Linked DNA regions of Pelodiscus sinensis. The protein of the gene in region 1 interacts with the protein of each later gene in a biochemical or structural test. Links are inferred from orthologs where the notes say so. Each region holds a gene or a part of one and is shown in the gene's direction. Other genes may lie near its edges.

Region 1 (10,710 bases):
AGATTGGCAGGACGCTTTTGCGGAAAAGCACTTTTTGTGGAAAAGCGTCTGTGGCCAATCTAGACACGCTTTTCTGCAAAAAAGCCCCGATTGCCATTTTCCCAATCAGGGCTTTTTTGTGGAAAACAAATCTCTGCTGTCTACACTGGCCCTTTTGCGCAAAAGTTTTTCGGAAAAAGACTTTTGCCCGAACGGGAGCAGCATAGTATTTCCGCAAAAGCACTGACAATCTTACATGAGATCATCAGTGCTTTTGCGGAAATTCAAGCGGCCAGTGTAAACAGCTGTCAAGTTTTTCCGCAAAAGCAGATGATTTTGCGGAAAAACTTGCCAGTCTAGACACAGCTCTATGGTTTTACATGGTTGATAGTCTGCAGCTACAGCAGTGTCACAACACAGACTTTTCAATTTATAAACTAACTAGGCATGATTTCACAGAAAAGCATTTAAACATCACAAAACTTAATACACGTACAAATTTGGTTTTTTTTTAATAAATGAGGGTAATACACACACACACACACACACACACACACACACACACACACACACACACGTTACAACTCCTCTTTGGAAACTAATGTGTGTAAGCACAATTCACTCATTCTGCTGACAAGGAAAGGCACACAAGTTCTACCACTCCTTCAAGACTAACAGATGGTTAAAAAACAACAAATAGTCTTGCAGCACTTTAAGAACATAACAGAGACTAGGGATACTATTCCTTACCCAACCTGGGTAATAGCCTTCACAACCTCCTTAGGCAAGGTTACGATAAGCATGGGCACTTGTACACAGCAAGTAGTTCAGCCTTGTTTATAACCTTTACACATGGTCATCAAACAAAAAGACAAGCAGACCCAACCTTAAGTTTGACTCTTTACTAACTATAAGCAAATGGAAAAACTTAAAAAAAAAACAGCAAATAGTCTTGCAGCACCTTAAAAACTAACAAAACAGGTAGATGGTGTCATGAGCTTTCAAGGGTACAACCTACTTCTTCAGTTTCATCGGTCGTGGGTAGTGCCCATGAGGGTGTATGATATCATCTACATGTTTTGTTAGTTTTTAAGGTGCTGTAATACTATTTTAGAAAAGTCTGGCATTAGAAAAAATTCAGAGAAGGGCAACTAAAATGATTAGGGGTTTGAAACAAGTCCCATATGAGGAGACTAGGACTTCTCAGCTTGGAAAAGAGGAATAAAGAAAAGTTATTTACTTGTTCTCATAATATAAGAACTAGGGGCTACCAAATGAAATTAATGGGCAGCAGGTTTAAAACAAATAAAAGGAAGTTCTTCTTCACATAGCGCACAGTCAGCCTGTGGAACTCCTTGCCTAAGGAGGTTGTGAAGGTTATTACCTAGGTTGGGTAAGGAATAGTATCCCTAGTCTCTGTTGTGTTCTTAAAGTGCTGCAAGACTATTTGTTGTTTTTTAAGTTTTTCCAGTTACAGACTAACTGAGCTACCCCTCTGAAATTTATAATCAAAATCATTCCCTCTTTTATCCTCTATTTCACTCAAATTTTAAAGAGACGCTGTAAGATTATTTTTTCCTCATAACCAATGTTTCCTCATTTCTGTAATCAGAAGGGATTTTGAAAATGTCAAATTTGATTTTCTAACTCCACTTAGCTTGGACAATAAAAGCAATCAAATCAGTTCCACTTTCTGATTTTCAAGCACTACTGTATATAGGAAAATATGAAATATAAAGCAAAATAACAAAACATTCCAGCATCATCACAAAACACTTTGTTGTCATTAATTCATTTTAGATTTAATGAAACAGGCCTCAACACTGCAAACACTAATGTAACAATCCTGTTTATATTTACACATGAATAATCCCACTGAAGTTTGGGTTACATCCCCATTTGCTGTATTTTTTACTCATTTATACATGCTGGCATTTTTTGCTGCATCCATTCCTGATAATGGATTTTATAGAAACAATTTAATTTCAAGCACCAAAATCACAGTAACGCACTGCCTACTCTATTTTCTGAGTGGTGTCACAGAGTGTTCCATACTACAGGCAATGCAGTACTACAGTTTTTCATTCTGGTATGGCACTGCAGAGTGTATAAACCTACTCTTCCACTATCCTGCCAGGGACTGCACTATTGTCTTATAGAACTGGACTGTAAGAGACCTGTTCATTATCAGTTGATGCATTACATGGTGAGAGTATAAAATATAAGGTAAAGCTGCAATGGCTAAATTGATACTGAGGAAATGCAGGAGTTTGCAGCTCTCAAAATAATGGGATCAGAGCTTTGGCTTGTAGACAGGGAAATGCTGAGACAATCCAAAAACATCAGCAAAAGTCATTTTCTAAAAAGCGCCAAGGATGCATTTTGTTCTTTTCAGTATTACTGTGGCCAAGTGCTTTTAGGTGTTTACGCAGAGTTCCAGGATAGGGATGTAAGAGTCCACTATCTGATAAGCAAAAGCTTATCAGATAGTAGACTAGCCCCTCCACTATTTACTTCCCCCCTCCTTTGCTGCCTGTATCAGAGGCAGTGGGGGAGCAGGAGCCAGTGCTGGGGGGAGCTGGCTTAAAAGCTGGTTCTCCCAGTACCATCTCCGGGGGGGGGGGGGGTAAGGGCAGGGCAGGGAAGGCAGGGGGTAGTGGGGCTCTTAATACATTTAAAAAGCCAGGAGCAAACCCCACTGCAGCTCTCCTACTTATCAACTAATCAACTAGTCCAGGGCTACTCAACTTTGGAAGCCCCGGGTGCCACATTGATACTCACAGCACATGCCAAGGGCTGCAACTTAAGTGTGGTTGCATGTACATGCAAATATATATGCAAATATATGCAAATAGCTTCTTTCACTCTGACCGCATGAATACAAAGATTAAGGTAAGACTACATAACATGCAGGCCCCATTTAAGTTAGTTCTACTGATATTAATACAATGCAATATTTACCCAATTTCCACCCCTATGACAGCACTTATAATGAGCAATGACAGTGCAGGAATTTAACTACTAAAACACATATCAACAAAAGACCAGTCTAATGACTACTTTTTTGTTTTGGCACCCACCTGCTGGCCGCATGTTGAGCCCCGTGTAAACGCAAATCACAATGTGGGCTGCAAAAAAGTGGGCCGTGTGTTGAGTAGGCCTGGACTAATCAATGCAAAATCCATCAACTTAGATGATTAGATGATTAAATGAAATTTAATGTCCCTATTCCAGGATAACAACAGTCAATAGGCCAGGGGATACTTAAGAATTATGTTCCTTTAGAATCCTTTGATCACATTGTAATGAGAGGAGATATGCTCTGAAAGGATGCTGTGTAAACAAGATTCAATCAAATAAAATATAGGTAATTTAATTAGGCAGTCTTCTGTCATGCAGATTCAGTAATGTCAGAGTCAACTGTATGTTCGCTGGTTGGACAGAACAAGCAGTCCTCCAGCTTTCACCTCAGCAAAGGAAGAACCATTGGATAATTACATTTGTTTTTGCCCTTGTTCTGCAAATTCTTAGGCAACATGTGCATAACTTTAATGAAGGTATTAAGTGTCAAAATTATGTATATGCTTTAGTGTTTGCAAAACAGTCACATCCCTGATGTGAACCACAAAAAAACCCTGTAAAATTCAGAGGGCTTTTGCATTCTCTTAAAATCTGCCAAAGAAGTTTTTGAAGTGATTATGTTATGTGTCCACCTAAAGTTAGAATATATAGTGTGATTGCTAATTATAGAAGACTTGTGTAACATGATTTGAGATTAATTTTAAAAGTTTAAAATATACCAGGGTGCCCAACACCCTTTCTTTATACACATACTTGCAATTCCAGCAGACAGAGTCACAAAACCAACAGGACGATAAGGTTAGAAAGGGACTGCAAAGGTCATCCAGTCTAACCCCCGCCAGATGTAGGCTTTGTCCTCTAAAGCCATATGCCACACAGTCATCATCTCTTAGAACAAGGAGTGCATGGGAAGCACGACCCACCCCCTCCACCTACGTATGCAGTGTGCACTCCCGCAAGAGGTGGATTTTACATCAAGCCTCCAGTTGATGAGTCACACACGAGTGGAGGTGCTGAATTGCAAACAACCGCATTTCACCTAAAAATAAGTGAGGTAGGTCTCCTCTCCCACAACGTGCGGCCCTTAGCAATCTCTCACGCACACACAGTGCTCGTGTATCAAGTGCAGTTTGGGGGTTTTTTTGACATGTAAAATATCTACTGTTGGACTAGGTGCACCCCCACAGCCTCGGTGTATCCTCGCTCCCGCAGCCCAGGACAGTGTTTGGAGTAACTACCACAATTGTGCAGTGCCAAAACTCTGTAGCTCAGCCTGCCACCGTGGGCCGCAACTAGTCCCCCCGGTGAACCTCACCCGCCGCCGCGGGGCAGCACCTTCACCACCTTTTATTCCCGCGAAGTGCTGTGAGGATGGTGGCTGCGTAACAGACCACAGCTCCCTTGGTGCAAACTCGGTGCTTGCTGGGTCTGTCTGTAGCGTTTCCCGCACGGGCTTACGCCAGCCATGTTAGCAGTCCCGCAGAGACGGCCCTCACCCCACCACCCCCGGGCAGTGGAAAGGGGCTTTTATACGTCAGAGTCGCCAGCGTGTAGGCCTGCCTCCCCCAGTGGAGTGTCAGCAAATGCCTTCCTCCTCTGCTCCTGCTACTCTACCGCACTTCCCCAGCGGCTAGCCCGCCCACCCTCCCGTGTCTTCAAATAGACCCCCGTGTCTCCTCTCCCTTGGCTGGGCTGATCCGAGAGTAGACTAGGGACAGTACTAGCTGGCTGGGGCATGCTCAGTAAGAGCCAGGCACTGCGAGCAGAACCCGCCGGGGAGCAGGCTTCGGCGCTACACCCTCTTCCTGCCTCTCTCGCTTGCGTCAGATCAATGTTGCAGACTGTGCGCTGAGGATCCGCGCGTGGCGCGCTCGGCCCGGGAAACGCGGCGGCTGCCGGGGCCCCTGTCGGGCTGGTGGCCGGAGCGCCCCTCGGAACGCCGGGACATCTCTCTGGAACGCCGATACACTTTGGAACGTTCGCGGCGCCCGGTCGGCTGCTGGCGGCGGCCCGCTGTTGAGAGCGGAGCCGGTTCGTTGCGCGGGTCCCGCCTGCGGGGTTCGGTGAGTGGCCACCCGGGTGCCCGCAGTTCCATGGTTGGCTCGGACCGCGATGAGCCGCCCGTCCTCCGCCGGACCCAGCGCTAACAAACCCTGCGGCAAGCAGCAGCACGCCCCGTCCCCCGCTGCTGCCCCTGCTGCCGCCGCCACCATCTCGGCTGCCGGCCCCGGCTCCTCCGCGCTCCCCGCTGCGGCCGCTGTGATCTCAGGCCCCGGAGGAGGCGGCGGCGGCGGGCCGGTCTCGCCTCAGCACCACGAGCTGACCTCGTTGTTCGAGTGTCCCGTCTGCTTCGACTATGTGCTGCCCCCGATCCTGCAGTGCCAGGCCGGGCATCTGGTGTGCAATCAATGCCGGCAGAAACTGAGCTGCTGCCCCACGTGCAGGGGATCCCTGACCCCAAGCATCAGGAACCTGGCCATGGAGAAAGTGGCTTCAGCTGTCCTCTTCCCCTGCAAGGTAAGAGGCTCTTCCAAGTCCCTTTCTGCTCCGGCCGACACGGTCCGGGGGGTGACTGGATGGAGCTAGTCCTTGTGCCTTATTCATCCCCGGACCGGAATGCTGCTGTCATTTCTGTAGAGCCACAAAGCAAAGGCTCCTCTAAGAGCTGCCATAGGGAGCCCTTTCCCTCTGGGTCACTACTGAGATGGGGACCTGCCCTCTCAACGAATCGCAGAATTTTGCAGAGGGCCGGATTGTGAAAGTTTTGCTTCTCCTTTCCAGATTCCAGTCAACAGGAACATTCTGCACCTTCCAGCCATACCAGAGGGAGGCTCGTGTCCTAGTTATATATATGGCTTCTAAACAATTCCCTGCCCCCTTTCGCTCCCACAGCAATATGTGCCCAAGTAACCCCAGTAACAGCTGATCACCCCTTTCCAGCAGAAACACGGGCGGGGGCTTCTACTCCCAGCCCTGTCAGCAGACATTTGGCCTCCTGCTGGGAGCACAGTTCCTTTCCCCAAGAGTATTAAGAGTACAAAGAATATATATCCTGCTCTTTGTCTTAAAGATACCCACAGCTTGACTCTTGTTTACAAATTAAGTGCCGCTGTCTTGTCTTAATCCTGTGTGATAGCCCTGCCGGTACACAGTGGTATTATGTGTAACTACACCATTAAGGCTTTTAAAACAATCAACTATTAAAATGTTACATAAACATCTAATTGTTAAAAGTAATATCACTTAGATTCTTGAATAGATCGTTTTTCACATTGCAAAGTGTTTAGACCATCTTAATGCATTATTCTTCATGCTTGCAATTTAATTTGATGACTAAGAGGGACACAATATATTTTAAAAGTCATGATAACTAAATGTGTTCTGTCTGTTATTTAGAACACTATTATAATTCCATCAGATTAAAGAAAATAAATCTGTCCTTCCATTTTCAGTCTGCTTACTTTGTACCAATTACTTGGTATTTAATCAATTTCACATCTTTTCCCTGGCATGGTCTGTGTAGTTTGGGTGGGTGTCTCTCTCATAATAATTAAGGGCAGAAAACATATATTTAAATAATAGGAAATGTGATAGACTAAGGGAATCAGGAACAGATAAAGTATCAGAATCTGCTGTTTATAACAGGTTAGATTTCAAATTGAGAGTGCCTTTTTAAATGAAGTGTTGATTACTTCTCCCACCCCAATAAACTACAAAGAATATTTAGAAAAGCTTAATCTGAATTCAAGAGCTTTGATTTCCTTTGTTGTGGTTGTTGATTTAAAGTAGATTGTGTGAATTATCTTAAAATATGTCCTTACGGAAATAAGCATACAAGGTGGATTATACAGATTCTTGCTACCCCTAGCAGAACTTTGATATTTACAAACAAGCCCAGATCCTGCAGTTTGACTCCACACAAGCTTAAGAATTCATATTATCACTCACACCTACTTGAAGAAGTGGGGCAATAGGGAATGAAACATAATAAGTGGAATGGGCTGTTGTACTCCTTTGTCTTAAATTGAGAGGCTTGACTGGAATTGGTGCTTAGAGTGAAAATATTTTCCTTCTGTTTGAAAAAAAGTGACAGGAGGCCATAATTTAAGCTGCTCATTTTCCACCACCCATGTATGCCCTGTGTTCTGCAGTTTGTCCTTACAACTTCAGTTTGTTTTACATACTCGTTTTATAAGGGTTTTTTATGCCATGCTGCTATTTGGGGTCAGTAGTGTTAGCCAACAACAGAGCTCCAGGAGTGATGTTTACCTGGCCTGAACCAAAGATTGAAAAGCTTCCTCAATTCTTATTGCCTGTCATTATCTGTTTTTTAAAACATTTATTCTTACCTGGAACCTTTTACTCATTATGCTGGGCAAACTTAAAAACCAGAAGAATGCAAGAAAAAAATTGGTGCACATTTCCTAAAATTTGGTGTAAATTTTAATGTGTCCAGTCAAAAGTGTTCCACCCATCTAATCCCCCCACCCCAAAAGTGAGCACTCCTTTAGGCAAGGACCTGGACTTTACAGCAAGGTACTGATATTTTCACTATAGGAGTCAGTGCTTAGTGGAAAGTCACTAACTCCTGTGCCACCTATGCACTGAGCTCAGTGTAAAATCGGAGGTGGATTCTACACCAGCATCTCTTAGCGGGTTCTGAAATCCAGGCTGTGAACATTGAGGGGAAATGGGCAGAACATTAGCTGTTGCAGCATAGAAGTTGCCTTGTGCTGAGAAGTCTTTCAGGCCAGCCATACCACCCTTTTCATGGCCAGTAACTTGCCAATCGGTTCTAAAAGGCTGTTGACCAGCTAGCGAAGCTGTGACAAAGTTGGGATTTTCTGTAATGTTTTTATGAAAGGCATGCATACTTTGCATTGCTGCCCAGAGGAGGAAAAAGAGTTAAGTCTGTTCTTGGAAGCAGCACAGGACATGAGGTGTGTGGGTGTTGCTATGCTCTCTGGCCTGCAATGAATAGGGTTGTTGAGGAACTGGCTGGAACCTGCTGAAAGCAACCCTTATGGATGCTGCCTCCAAAAGAGACAATGGAAAACCTCAGGGGCTAGAACATTGACACCTAGGAAACAATGATTGAAAGGGAGGATAAACTTAAACAACAAATGGTCTGGTAGCACTTTAGAGACTAACAAAACATGTAGTGTCATGAGGTTTCATGGGCACATCTGAAGAAGTGGGCTCTGCCCACAAAAGCTCATGATACCATCTACATGTTTTGTTAGTCTATAAAGTGCTACCAGAACATGTGTTATTTTTTGTTTATCCTGTACATACTAACTCAGCTACCCCCTGAAGCTTCTAAAAGGAAGGAGGTTTTCTCCCCATCTGTCTGCAGGAAAGCAGAGCAAAATCCCCCACCTTGAGAACAAAGAACTGACCTGGAAAGGAAAAGGGGATTGGCTTCTGGAAGAGTCTAACTGCTCTCACCTGGATAGGTAAGGAGAGAAAGAGAGAGGTGGAGTCCATTAGAACATGGCTTGCTCATTCACTGGTTTGACCAGTATTGACAGAACTCTACTCTCTCTTTGCCAACTCAAGAACACTTAGATTCTGTGCACCAAGTGACAAATACTTTGTTGCCTTGTTTAGAAAAAGCTGATCCTCACTGGGACCACTGTGCCCAAAGGATACAAGCCTCTTGCAGGGGTCTGGCTTAGCAAGATTTGTTATAGAGAGTCAGAGAGATGAATACTCAGTTTTAGAGGCCAGGGACCTGTCTGTGGAATTGTGTGATGTTGGGGGATTTGGTATGTCACTCCCCAGAGACTTCTCATACATTAGAGGGCAATGACCAGACCTTGTGAATCCACGAGTGAAGCAAAAGTGTGTGAGTATTTGGTTGTGTGACAGTCTCAACCAGTTGCATTGCTGAGCAATCCAAAGTTGTAATAAACATTAGTATTACTGGATTTCCTTAAAGAATTATTTTAAATTACAAAGTGGAAATTGATGCATGAGAGGTGTGATGCAACTGAACTGTAGTGTAAGTGCTGATTGAGTTAATGTTAAATTTCATTGCCAGCAAGACCTAGAGACACAATGGTTTGCAGTTACGGGAAGATTTCCAGGATTTTTCTGGAGTTAATCAAAAGTGTCAATAGAAGGTTTGTTTGGCTGTTTGAAGGGGAAGATGCTTTGTTGTTTTTCAAATAATTTTTATTGTGAGGTTTTCTTTGTTTTAAGACCCTTGAAGTTGTGGGTCTCTGAATACTGTTCAATGCAGAGCCCTGGCCCAGAGTACACTAAGGGTGTGTCTAGACTACAGGGTTTTGTCGACAAAAGTGGACTTTTGTCGACAAAACTATACTTGCGTCCACACTACCGCTGAGTTCTGTAGATATAACGTCGACAGAACTCAGCAGTTTTGTCGACGCTGGTAAACCTCATTTCACGAGGCATAACACCTTCTGTCGACAGAGTTCTGTAGACAGAAAGCATTATTGCATGTAAACTGTCCTTGCGTCTACACTGCCATGTCGACAAAGCAGCTTGCTTTGTTGACAGAACTGAATGTAGTGTAGACACTCTTTGTCGACAGAAGCTTTGTCGACAGTATTTGTCGACAAAGCTTCTGTCGACAAAATGCTGTAGTCTAGACATACCCCAAGGACGTTAAGTAATTTTCAGCATGGAACTCTGCTGGCACCCCTGTGAAGCATCAGGTAAATGCCCTTTGCAGTACAGTGTATATATGGCTCTGCTAAGTTTTCTGTTTGTAAAGATATATTTTTAAAGCTTTGCAAACAGAATAAGAAAAAGAGGGCACGTACCCGACACTCTATGGTCTAGCTCACATGCTTCAGCTGTGTGGAGTGTCATACATCACAATGACAGGAATTTACTGATATTTTTAATTGACTACTGTTGTTCTTGTTTGCAGTAAAGCTGATGCAGAACATCTCTCTTGTCCTTCTTTTGGCACAGTCAACCTGCAGTTATGAAGCTAGAAGTGTTTTGGGAGGTATTTTTATTCTGCTTTTAAAAGAACTATTCAGTGATGGAATGGGGTATCCATCATATCTGTTCAACTAGTTTTCTGTAGCCCTTCTTGAGGGAGTGAGAGAGTACTGACAAGCTGCCCAGTCACAAATTATAGTTGACATCTTTAGATTTAGTTCAGAAGTTTTCAGTTTTTCATAAGGTACATTAAGTATTTAAATCTTACTGCATTTTTTTATTTTTTTTAAAACTTAATGAACTGTTTTGAAGTCCATATCTCTTCCAATATTCATTTGACTGCACTAGAATTACATCTCCATTCTTAAAACTTTAGCTAGAGATCCTTAACCCTTTGCACTTTCATAATGCCTCAGAGCACCTGACAGACAGCTAAATCTCACAACAGTACAGTAATGGCTGAAGCCAATATCGGTTGTGTCACTGGACAGTCTTGATTCTCTTTGCTTTTTTATGTAAGGATGAGAGAGAGAATTCTTGATGACATAAGCAAGCAGAATATAATGACCTAGTTTGGACAGAACACTGTTGTGAAATCTGTACTATTACGTTCTATGGGATATTTATGGTTATTAGTTCTGTATCACCTCTGAAAGCTAGTCCACAGCAGTATAGTGCCCCATAACAACCTGTAAGATTCATTACACATTGAGGGGGAAGAGTGACACCTCC
Region 2 (10,710 bases), on another chromosome or scaffold:
TGCCAGCAGGGTACCTGGTGTTCCCAGAGAGTGCCTGGAAACTGGCAAATGAGAAGAAGCACAGAAGCACTGGCAGGGGCATTGAGGAAACCTCTGAGCTTTGTCCCTGCTAAAGAAAGGGATGGGAAAGCCAATAGCAGCCAACCAGCTTCAAGTGCTTCTGAATATGCAAATGAGAGAAGAAGAGGTCAGGTTCAGACAGAGCCTGGGATCAGGGAGGGAGACCTTGTATCTGCAGCTGGGCCACTGGGGACCACAGAAAGTCAGCTGTTCAGAGAGTCTTTAATATGTGAAGTCTGCTTTTCAGATAGGACCATAAAGATAGTGCATAAAGAGCTCTGTGCATTAGCTTCTAGGTTCTAACTTGTTACAGGTCAGGATATCTATGCATTGACAGAGCTATGTCTGAGGCAGCTAAGACAGGAGGAACACGAGCTGCCATAGATCAAGATAGAATGGTACAGGAGCAGATCGTTGGGGCAGGGATGAGCAGTGAGAGCAGGAATGGAACAAGGGCTTCCCCGCATCTTAGCTCAGCCCTGAATGGCACAGTCCCTAATACCACAATCTGTAATTTTCACTCAGAATTTCACCTCTGCTATGCCAGTTCACACCAACAATTCCTCTAGACTAGTATGACACCTGCTGTGTTTCAGCAGAAGATGAAATCTCCTATATTGTACCTGGTGAGGAATGCACTGCTGCACATGAGAGCAATGCCTTTCTGATTGTGATAATTCTCTAGACACCATCTTAGAGAGAGTTCAGAAGGTTTCAGGAGCTCTGTGACAATATTGAGGCTGGCTGACAGCATCTCTCTTGGGCCATATGAGAATGGGGGGGGGGGGCAAAAAAGAGGGCACCTCTGTGTCAGAAGAGTCCTAATAGAGAAGATTTTGTTCTCCTGCAAAGCTAAACAAAACAGGATTGCACTGCAATATAAAAACATAGAAATAATGAAGATGGGAAGACAGCAACATCTTAGAGGATTTTGGAGCTTGAACCTGGTCTGGTAACATGAAATACACGGCAGAATGCAGGTAAAATAGAGCAAGAGACATAGAATTCTCCCCAAAGTGTTCAGTCACAAATTTAATTAATACTTTTTTTAACAATTGCCATCAGCCTAAAAGTATGCCCTCTGGAAGGGTAGCCAAAGCATGAAAGGGGTGTATGAATGTTTTGCATCTCTGGCATGTAAATAGCTTGCAAAGCTAGCTACAAAAGTGCCATGCAAACACCTGTTCTCACTTTCAGGTGACATGGTAAATAGAGGTGGGCAGCACTATCTCCCATATAAATGTAAACAAACGTATTTGTCTTAGTGATTGGCTAAACAAGAATTAGGACTGAGTGGACTTGTAGGTGTTAAAGTTTTACATTGTTTTGATTTTGCTTGCAGTTACGTGTCAAAAAAAATTACATTTGCAACTTGCACTTTCACAATAAAGAGATTGCCCTATAATACTTTTAAGAGGTGAATTGATAAATAAAATGTATTTTGTTTATCTTTTTACATGAAAATATTTATAATAAAAATGATAATATTAAGTATACTTTGTATTCTGTATTGTAAATGAAATCAATATATTTGAAAATGTAGAAAAGCATCCAAAATATTTACATAAATTATATTCTATTATTAACAGCACAATTAATCAGTTAATTTTGTAATCTCATGATTAATCATGATTAATTTTTAAATCACTTGACAAACCCTAGTAACAAATAATTGTACTTAGTATTTTACATTTTTAAAGCACTTTGCAAACAGTAACTTTAGAAATTTGAACCAGTAGTCCACAGTAGCTTGTAAGTTTCTTCCTGCTCTCAGAACTGGAAGTAAGTATTCTGTGGGAAATAATCTACCTTTCCTCAGGAATGGATAGCAAAGAGTGACTAAAGAGTCTTTCACCTCTCCTTAATGGAACAATGTGATTAACCAATGAAAGCTTGTTTAGATGATGTCATCTTTGTAACTAGCTATCTTGATGGACGGCTCTGCTGAGGATGGATTTTCCCTGGAACCAGACTGAATTCACCTGCTCAGCTGAATTAATCAACTCTAAGTAAATTTTTTATTTTTCTAATTTCCCTCCAGATACTTAGAGAGATGTTTAATGAAAGCCTACCATGCATATTTTTTTCCTGTTAGGCAGGAATCTTTTGTTAAGGACAGCTGTTTTCCAGTGTCTTGCTCAAGGACAGCAGCATTCCAGTGAAGAATAACTGAAAAAGTTCTAGATTTGGCACTTTACAAGATCTTAGGGATATAAATGACTAGTCGACTATCTGCTAAGCAAAAGCTTATTGGGTAGTCAACTAGTCCCTCAACTAGTTGCTTTCCCCCCACTTGCTGCCTCTGATAGAGGCAGCAAGAGGGGCAGACCTAGGGCTGGGGGGAGCTGGTTTAAAAGCTGGTTCCCCCCAGCACTGTCTCTGCAAGGGGCAGGGGAAGCAGGGGGATAGTGGGGACCGGGTGCTGTGCCTCTGCTTTTTAAATGTATTAAGAGCCACCTGGCTCTTCATACTTTAAAAATCAGAAGTGCAGCAGCGGGGATCCAGCGCAAGCCCGACCAGCTGATTGTCAGCTTGTGCCAGGTCCCCTGCTGAGCTCCAGCCTTTTAAATGTATTAAGAGCCGGTAGGGAGGGCTCTTAAATGTATTAAGACACGGGAGGGGACCCAGCACGAACCGGGAATCAGCTGTCCCAGCTCACGCAGGGTCCCCCCTGCTGCACTTCAGTCTTTTAAATGTATTAAGAGCCAAGAGGCTCTTAATACATTTAAAAGGCAGAGCTGCAGAGGGGTTAGTTTCCAGGGCAGGGAGCTAACCCCACTGCTGCTCCCCCACTTATTGACTAATCAATGGAAAATCTATCGACTAGTTGATTAGTTGATTAAACTAAATTTAACATCCCTAGGGCTCTATTTCCTTTTTGTTTACATGCCAGCAGAGTTTCAAAGTATTGGAGAATGTCTCTTATTGATTTTTCTAATATTTTTCCTTTAAAAAATTCCTAGGAAATTCCCTGCAAAATTCTTTGCAGAGTATTATGGTTACATAGATGCTCAAAAGTTATGAAAAGCCTTAATTATGGATGTACACTCAATCTTTACTTTCCCTTTTGGAACAGATGCCTCATTACAATGCAGTTTTTAATTACAGGATCACAGACTATTGCAGGTTTAGTACAGAGTTTCTTAAACTTTGTAGTAGCATTCACCTCATGTTAAGAGGAAGCTGTTTCATGCTCCTTTCTTGCCATTTCCAGTTGTGCAGGTGACCTCCTATTTCTATCCAGGTAACATGCCTGTGGCAACTGAAACATTTATTTATATCAAATGTAATGTCCAGAAAGTAATTTACTGTAGCTGTCACTAGTGTGATTTTAGCAGGAGAAAACAAAGAGGATTATAGCAACTTTAATCAGCCTGCTTTGGGGGGGGGGGGGGGGGAGCCCTGAGCCTCAGGAGCCAGATACAGGTAAGCTGGTTGCCTTAGGTTTCCCACTCCTTCTGTAAGTGGTCTCAGTACCACTAAGTGGGACAGTACACCAAACCTAGCAGGTGTGTGAGTTACATCAGCAGAGTGACTAGCATCAGTCATGTGTGGATCTTTCTCTTTCCCACAGCCTATGAGCTATAGTATGTGAGAATGATGGGCACAGGGTATTTCTGTTTAAAGAATATTGTAAGAACTTGGAATGAAAGGTGGTGAGGTTTGTGGGGGTCTCAATCCTGAGAGTATGTACTATACTCTTGGGCTACGTCTACACTGGCATGATTTTCCAGAAATGCTTTTAACGGAAACGTTTTCCGTTAAAAGCATTTTCGGAAAAGCGTGTCTAGATTGGCAGGATGCTTTTCCGCAAAAGCACTTTTTCCGGAAAAGCGTCCGTGGCCAATCTAGACGCGGTTTTCCGCAAAAAAGCCCCAATCGCCATTTTCACGATCGAGGCTTTTTTTGCGGAAAACAGGACTATGCTGTCTACACTGGCCCTTTTGGGCAAAAGTCTTTCGGAAAAAGACTTTTGCCCGAATGGGAGCAGCATAGTATTTCCGGAAAAGCACTGATGATTTTACATGACATCGTCAGTGCTTTTCCGGAAATTCAAGTGGCCAGTGTAGACAGCTGGCAAGTTTTTCCAGAAAAGCTGCTGATTTTCTGGAAAAACTTGCCAGTCTAGACACAGCCTTGGATTGGCCCCTGCGAATACTCTGTCTTCTGAACAGATGAGCTTTACCCTTACTTCGTTCAGTTCTGTGACTCCCTTATCTCCCATCCTCCTAGCCATAACTTCATCTTCTCTGACACCCATATTGCATCCTCTGGTCCATTCAAATTACAAGTGCCAAGATCACCTTCATGGCCAGTCACTGACCACAGAATCCATCTCTGCACCCTTGTAAGGGCTCCCCCACTGTCATTCCTCATCAGGTTCCAATTCCTTGTTCTCATCTGAATAGCTTCTCTGCCCTTCCTTGATTCACCCTCCCAGCCCTCTACTCTACCAACCATGCCAGCGCATCTGCCTGCTTCTCGCACAACGGCTCATTATATACTGGCCCCGCCTCCTCCATCAAACCCTCCTCCTATCCCACTGCCGACACCAGCCTTGTGAGTACTGAGCCGGAGCGAGACGTCTGGACTGGGGCAGGGTGGGGCACGTTTTCCGCTCGGTGCACCCTGCGGGTGTCACGCCGCTTCCGGGTGTTCTCTGAGGTCCTGTCCTGAGCGCGGCTCTGCCCCCACTGCCATGCAACAGGGCGGTTCAGCCCCACTTCATGAGACCCCACGGGGTGGTTCAGTCCTCACGCCCCCCCCCATCGCCTCGGGGTGGTTCATTCCTTCCGCCATTCCCTTCTGCTCCCACCAGCTTTGCTCTTCGGGTGCACTCGTGCTGCTCCTTAGGAGAATTCACTGTCTGCGTCCCCAGCCCCGTGGTTGGTACGATCCCCTGTGACACACCCCCCCCCCCGCATATGCGCCCGAGGTTGGTCCGCCCCGGCCCGCTTCCGCCCTGTGCCGGGCCTGGTTCCGGTGTCCGCCCTCCGGCTGCTCCTGCCGTCGCTGCCGCCGCCGCGATGCTGCTATTGTCCCGGTCCCGCTGTCTGAGCGGGGCGCTTGGCCGCTCACTCTGCGCGCTCCGGCAGGTACCGCCCGGGGCGGGGGCGGGGGCGGGAGCGGAAGGGACGAACGGGCAGCAGCGCCAAGGGCACCGGGACGCGGTGTCACGTCCCCGTTCTGGGCCGACTCCTGGAGAAACTCCTGCGCCCGGTCCCCCGCGGGCCGCTCCCTCGTGGGACCCCCATTGCGCACCCGCCGTGCGCACCGCGAGCCTCAGGGGAACGTGTCCCACAAGCCGTGCCCCAAGCTGGGGCCCCGGCGAACAGGGCGCTGCCTCAGATCCTCCCCTCCCCCCCCTCGGAGCAAATCCCTTGTGAGGTCTGTCCGTGGACCGGCCTGGCGTGGGGAGTGGCAGCTGAGGGAAACCCCGCGCCCCAAGGATACGCCTGCCAGTCTAAAGCCGGAGTCCCGAATGGCGAGGGCTATTTGAGTCCAGACCCTGCAGGATGGGGCTGATGGAATAGGTCCTGAGCATAGCCAGAGACAGCACCGGTTGGGCAAGCAGGGCCGCCTCAACTGCAGCCTGATAGCCTGCCCAGCATTTGCCCTCAGAACTCCCTAATACCATCCTTGTGGCTCTTATTCTTGGGCAGGCAACTGTTGCAAGCTGTGTGCTGGAGCCCTCCTGAGGAGGAGTTACAAGGACAGCCTATTGTCAGCTCTACTATCAGGAGGTCATCCTACATGGAATAAACAGAAAGACAGCTATGCCACCGTAAACATCTTTGTAGCTGTCTGATACCAGGATTTTTTTATACCCACTCATATTCTGCTCTCCTAATATGTATCTCCTAAAACACAGTCTCTTTGGTACACATATACCATCCTTGTGACAGCTTTCTATCTGGTTTATGCGACTTGCATTGGTATTGTTAATCTAGAGAAGCAAGTAATTTTGACAGCACCTTAAGTGTTCATAAAACTTTACAGGCACCTAAAGAATGATCTCTGTTTCAAAAACTGTATTGTGGGAAGCTTTGTTATGGGGAGAAATTGGCAAAATATAAATGGAAATGTAGCAGAAGACTGGGGATTCGTCTAGACTGGCATGATTTTCCACAAATGCTTTTAACTGCAAAGTTTTCCATTTGAAAGCATTTGCGGAAAAGAGTGTCTAGATTGGCACGGACGCTTTTTGCGGAAAAGGGTCTGTGGCAGTCTAGACGCGCTTTTGCGCAAAAAAGCCCCAGTCGCCATTTTTGCGATCGGGGCTTTTTTGTGCAAAACAAATCTGAGCTGTCTACACTGGCCCTTTTGCGCAGAAGGACTTTTGTCGGAACGGGAGCAGCATAGTATTTCCGCAAGAAGCACTGATTTCTTACATGAGATTGTCAGTGTTCTTGCAGAAATTCAAGCGGCCAGTGTAGACAGCTAGCAAGCTTTTCTGCAAAAGCAGTTGCTTTTGCGGAAAAACTTGCCAGTCTAGACACAGCCAAGAAGTAGCAATTGGGTACCTCAGTAATGAGTGTGTAATTAGGGCAGAAAGATGATAGCAAGGACAAGGCATTTCTACTTGATGTAGAATTAGCTGTGAAATCAATTGAGAAATGTTTGTGTTTGGGTAAGAAGGCCAAGGAAGTAGTGGTCATCAAGCAAGAGATAATAGGGCATAGACAAAAAGTTTTGACATTGAGAATAAGGAGGAAGAAGCAGATTTTGGAAATGCAGAGGGAGACTCGCCAGAATTTGGTGGATATCTAATGGCAGGAGGAGAGAAGAGAAGACGAGGATGACCCTCAGGTCTGTGGGCTTGAGTGACTAGGAAGATAGGGGAGTGGTCAGCAGGAATAGAGATAAGGAGAAGGAAGAAAAGTGTTGGCGTTTTGATATGTGAGGAAGAAAGAAGATATGCAGAAAGAGAATTTGAAGAGACAAGCAGCATTATGGGATTGAAGACAAGAGATGAGTTGCCAACATAGGAATCATGTACAAGTGCTGAGAGAGGAGGAAGAGAAGGCCATTTACTACTGCCATTGGGCACAAAAGTGAGGAGAATTACTACCTATAGAGGGGTTGAACAGAGAGGAGGGCCCCAGAAGCCCTCAGAGGAAAGGGTCCAAAGAAAGAGTGTAGTTTACAACACTGAAAACAGCAGAATTCACAGTGAATGAGACCTTTGGGATATATTTAGGAAAGAAAGGATCATAAAAGTTAGTGGGGAGATTGGCAGGGAATTCGAGAACAGGTCAGGCTGCCAGTTTGGTAACGATATCTTCTGTCTGCTCAGCATTACCGTCTGCATTGCATCTTAGCACCTGTCTCCTTCTCTATCTACCTGATGTGTATAATTACTAATTGTTGAAATCAATGAGTAATTTGAAATACTTGGTTCTCTTGTTTCCAGCAATGGGTTACACTGGCAGCCCTCTCTGTCAATGCAGCAGCCCTCTCTGCTGTAAGCAGTTCTTCCACTATTTCCTATGTGTGTGCAGAAGTCTTTGCCACAGAGTGATTGGTCTGTCATGCCACTTCCAAAGCTTTCCAGCCCTTTGTCTATTGGAAGTTGTGCTTGGAGCCGTGAAACTGGCTTTGCCCAGCGTGATTCTATTCTCTCAATGCTCTTATCTGAACTGGCTCTTGTTTCCAGTATAGGACTGAGGACACACAGCATGCCTACAGTCATCTTCCGTATTCCATAGGGGGACTTTTCAAATGTCATGAGTGGCATTTCCCTAAAAGATAGTATGGAGATGGTTAAATATATAGGGGATGCCTTTGGTGATAGACTGGTTCCAGCATGTTGAATGGTTCTGAGAAGTTATGTGAAGGTAGGGAAAGATTAAATTAATTGGTAGCTTGATCTGGGGAAGTGTAAGTTAAGAGATTCGTAGTGCTACAGTCAGTTTGCTAGATCTATAGATTTTGCTTCCTGTTCAGGCTCCTACTTTCCTGTGAAGGGTATGACAATATTAGTTGTTTGTTCAGACATTAATGCCAAGCGTCTTAGTGTCCTTGAGATTAGATGCAATCCCAGCAGATTTATTCTGGAAATGGGATGTTTCCTGCTAATGACTCCCCTGCCAAACATGTGGCTGTATGCTCTGGAACACCACCCCTGAGGAGCAGAAGCAAGAAAGCCCTAAGTAACACAGTGCCGTGCATAGAGACTTTCAGCGTCTTGAATCAGGATTAGGGATGTGGATGATTAACCGGTAAACTCTGACTAGTTAGCATCACCCTTGCCAGGGGATGCTTACTGGTTACAGTTAACTGGTGGACCTGGCCTGATCAGAGCAGCCCCTGCCATACCACAGGCAAGAGGGCCACTCCCGTTTAAGTCATTAACCGGGTTACACATAACGTTTAACCGATAACTGATTAAAAGGGATTTTACATCCTTAATCAGAATGGCTTCTCACCTCTGGCCTCACACAACACATAATCAACCTGTGGAACTTGTTGCCAGGGGATTTTTGTGAAAATGGTACTGGGTAGCCTATGACTTCCAGAAACTGAGACTGGATGATGGGATGGATCATTTGAGGATTGCCTGCTGTGTTCTTTCCCTTTGAAGCACCTGGGATTGGTCATTGTTTAAAGACAGAATTCTGGGCTAGATGGACCATTGGTCTGACCCAAAATAGGCATTCTTGTGTTATTCCCTTCACTGGTAGGCCCTCTGCCTAGGCTCATACATAAGATTTCAGTTCTTTAGGATAAGGGGGCCCAGTTATGTTAGAGCATTTTAGAATTTCCCTGGTCACAATAGCAGTTCTTAAAACACAGAAAACCACAGCTCACGTGGAAAGTACCATCTGTGGATTTTGTTTTGCACAGCCACCCATTGTAGCATGGGCTTCCTAAAGTCTATGCTTATAGTGATCTGGATCCTAGCAGTGCAGGGTCTCTCCAGGCACACACAGGAGTCTGTTGCTCCTACAGAATCTGAAACAGAACTTCTTCCTCCACAAAGATTCTGATGGGGATGCTTGGATTAACCCTGCCGCAAATTACCCCAAGGGAAACATCTGTGGGATGAAGGTAGCTCGCTTTGCTTAGTATATTAGATATTTTATATAAATATGTTTAAGAAACTGTGTAACATGAGGCTGTAAATCCAGATGGGAATTAGGGATGTAAAATCCCATTTAATTAGTTAACAATATGTTTTACCAGTTAACCAATTAAATAGGGCAAGTGGTGGAAGAGGGGCTGCTCAATCCCATGGATTGGAGCAGCTCTACAGTGGGCCGGAGGCTGCTCCAGCCCTTACCAGTTAAACATTCACATCCCTAATGAGAGTACTTGTGACTAAATTGTGAAAGTCTCAGAGCTCCAGTCACCAAAACTCCAGAGTAAGTTTCCTTGTTGTATTACATTTGTCCAGTTTTCACAATATAAAAAGTTCCCTTTATATTCCCATCTAATTCCTGCGGCCTCTGATGTATCTATAACATCTCATCAATTCGGGCAGTTTGTTTTATCTGATCTATAGGAATTTTCAGACATGTATATGGGATACACAAAGTTGAGATTTAACAGAAATAGGATTCTTTCATTTCCTGCCTTGACTAATGAGAAATAATTATTTTTGTGTCCCACCCTAGAGGGACACTTCATTTCAATGGTGGTTGAAGTGATCCTGGTATATAATTTGTAGGCATTTTTGGATGTTCGAGGTTGGAAGATGCTAACATGTACTTGTGTACAGTTAACCAATAAGCCTGGTCTCATTGGTTAACCCCCATGATTACATGCACATACACCCTCTGCCTCTGTATCAAAAGCAGTGGGGAGCGAGGCAGGAGACTTTTAAGCCAGCTCTCCACAAGTACCTGCTCCTCAATGTGTAAACGTGTAACCGTTGAAAATGACAGCACTTACTCATTTTAAAAATAAATGTGTTTTAACAACCCTAATCTAAATGAGTGACAGTACTTAGTAGGGCAGGGATCTCGTGTAGCTGCACCTTGAAACTTCATAGAATCATAGAAGAATAGGATTGAGAGGGAGCTCAGGAGGCATCTAGTCCAATCCCCTGCTCAACACAGGATCAACCCTATCTAAATCATTCCAGTCAGTGTTTTGCCAAGCCTTGCTTTAAAACTCTCTTAGAATGGTGATTCTACCCCTTCCCTAGGCAACTCATTCCAGTGCTTCAACACTCTCCTAGTGAAATATATTTTCCTAATATCCAACCTAGACCTCCCCCATGGCAACTTGAGACCATTGCTTCTTGTTCTGTCCTCACTGAGAACACCCTCTCTCCATCCTCTTTGGACCACCCCCTTCAAGCAGTTGAAGGCTGCTATCAAATCTCCGCTCACTCTTCTCTTCTGCAGACTAAATAAACTCAGTTCCTTCAGCCTCTCCTCATAAGTCGTGTGCCCAGCCCACTAATCTTTTTTGTTGCCCTCTGCTGGACTTGCTCCAATTTGCCCACATCCTTTCTGTAGTGGGGGGCACAAAACTGGTCTCAGTATTCCGGTTGTGACCTTACCAGTGCTGAATAGAGGGGAATAATCACTTCCCTAGATCTGCTGGCAATGCTCCTACAAATGTAGCCCAGTATGTCATTAGCCTTCTTGGCAACAAGGTCACACCATGACTCATTCAGTTTCTCATCTGCTGTAATCCCAA

Evidence for each region.
Region 2: the proteins of SIAH2 (region 1) and DLST form a complex in vitro, tested with the Homo sapiens proteins (2 studies listed by BioGRID, with this or other methods). The link is inferred for Pelodiscus sinensis from reciprocal best matches to the Homo sapiens genes SIAH2 and DLST.

Annotation. Positions count from the first base shown.
Region 1 is NC_134720.1:26,652,882-26,663,591, reverse strand, and holds the start of SIAH2 (E3 ubiquitin-protein ligase SIAH2), read left to right. Parts: upstream 1-4,144; 5' UTR 4,145-5,172; coding exon 5,173-5,577; intron 5,578-10,710. UniProt on the Homo sapiens protein: E3 ubiquitin-protein ligase that mediates ubiquitination and subsequent proteasomal degradation of target proteins.
Region 2 is NC_134714.1:44,201,693-44,212,402, reverse strand, and holds the start of DLST (dihydrolipoyllysine-residue succinyltransferase component of 2-oxoglutarate dehydrogenase complex, mitochondrial), read left to right. Parts: upstream 1-4,999; 5' UTR 5,000-5,087; coding exon 5,088-5,156; intron 5,157-10,710. UniProt on the Homo sapiens protein: Dihydrolipoamide succinyltransferase (E2) component of the 2-oxoglutarate dehydrogenase complex. The 2-oxoglutarate dehydrogenase complex catalyzes the overall conversion of 2-oxoglutarate to succinyl-CoA and CO(2).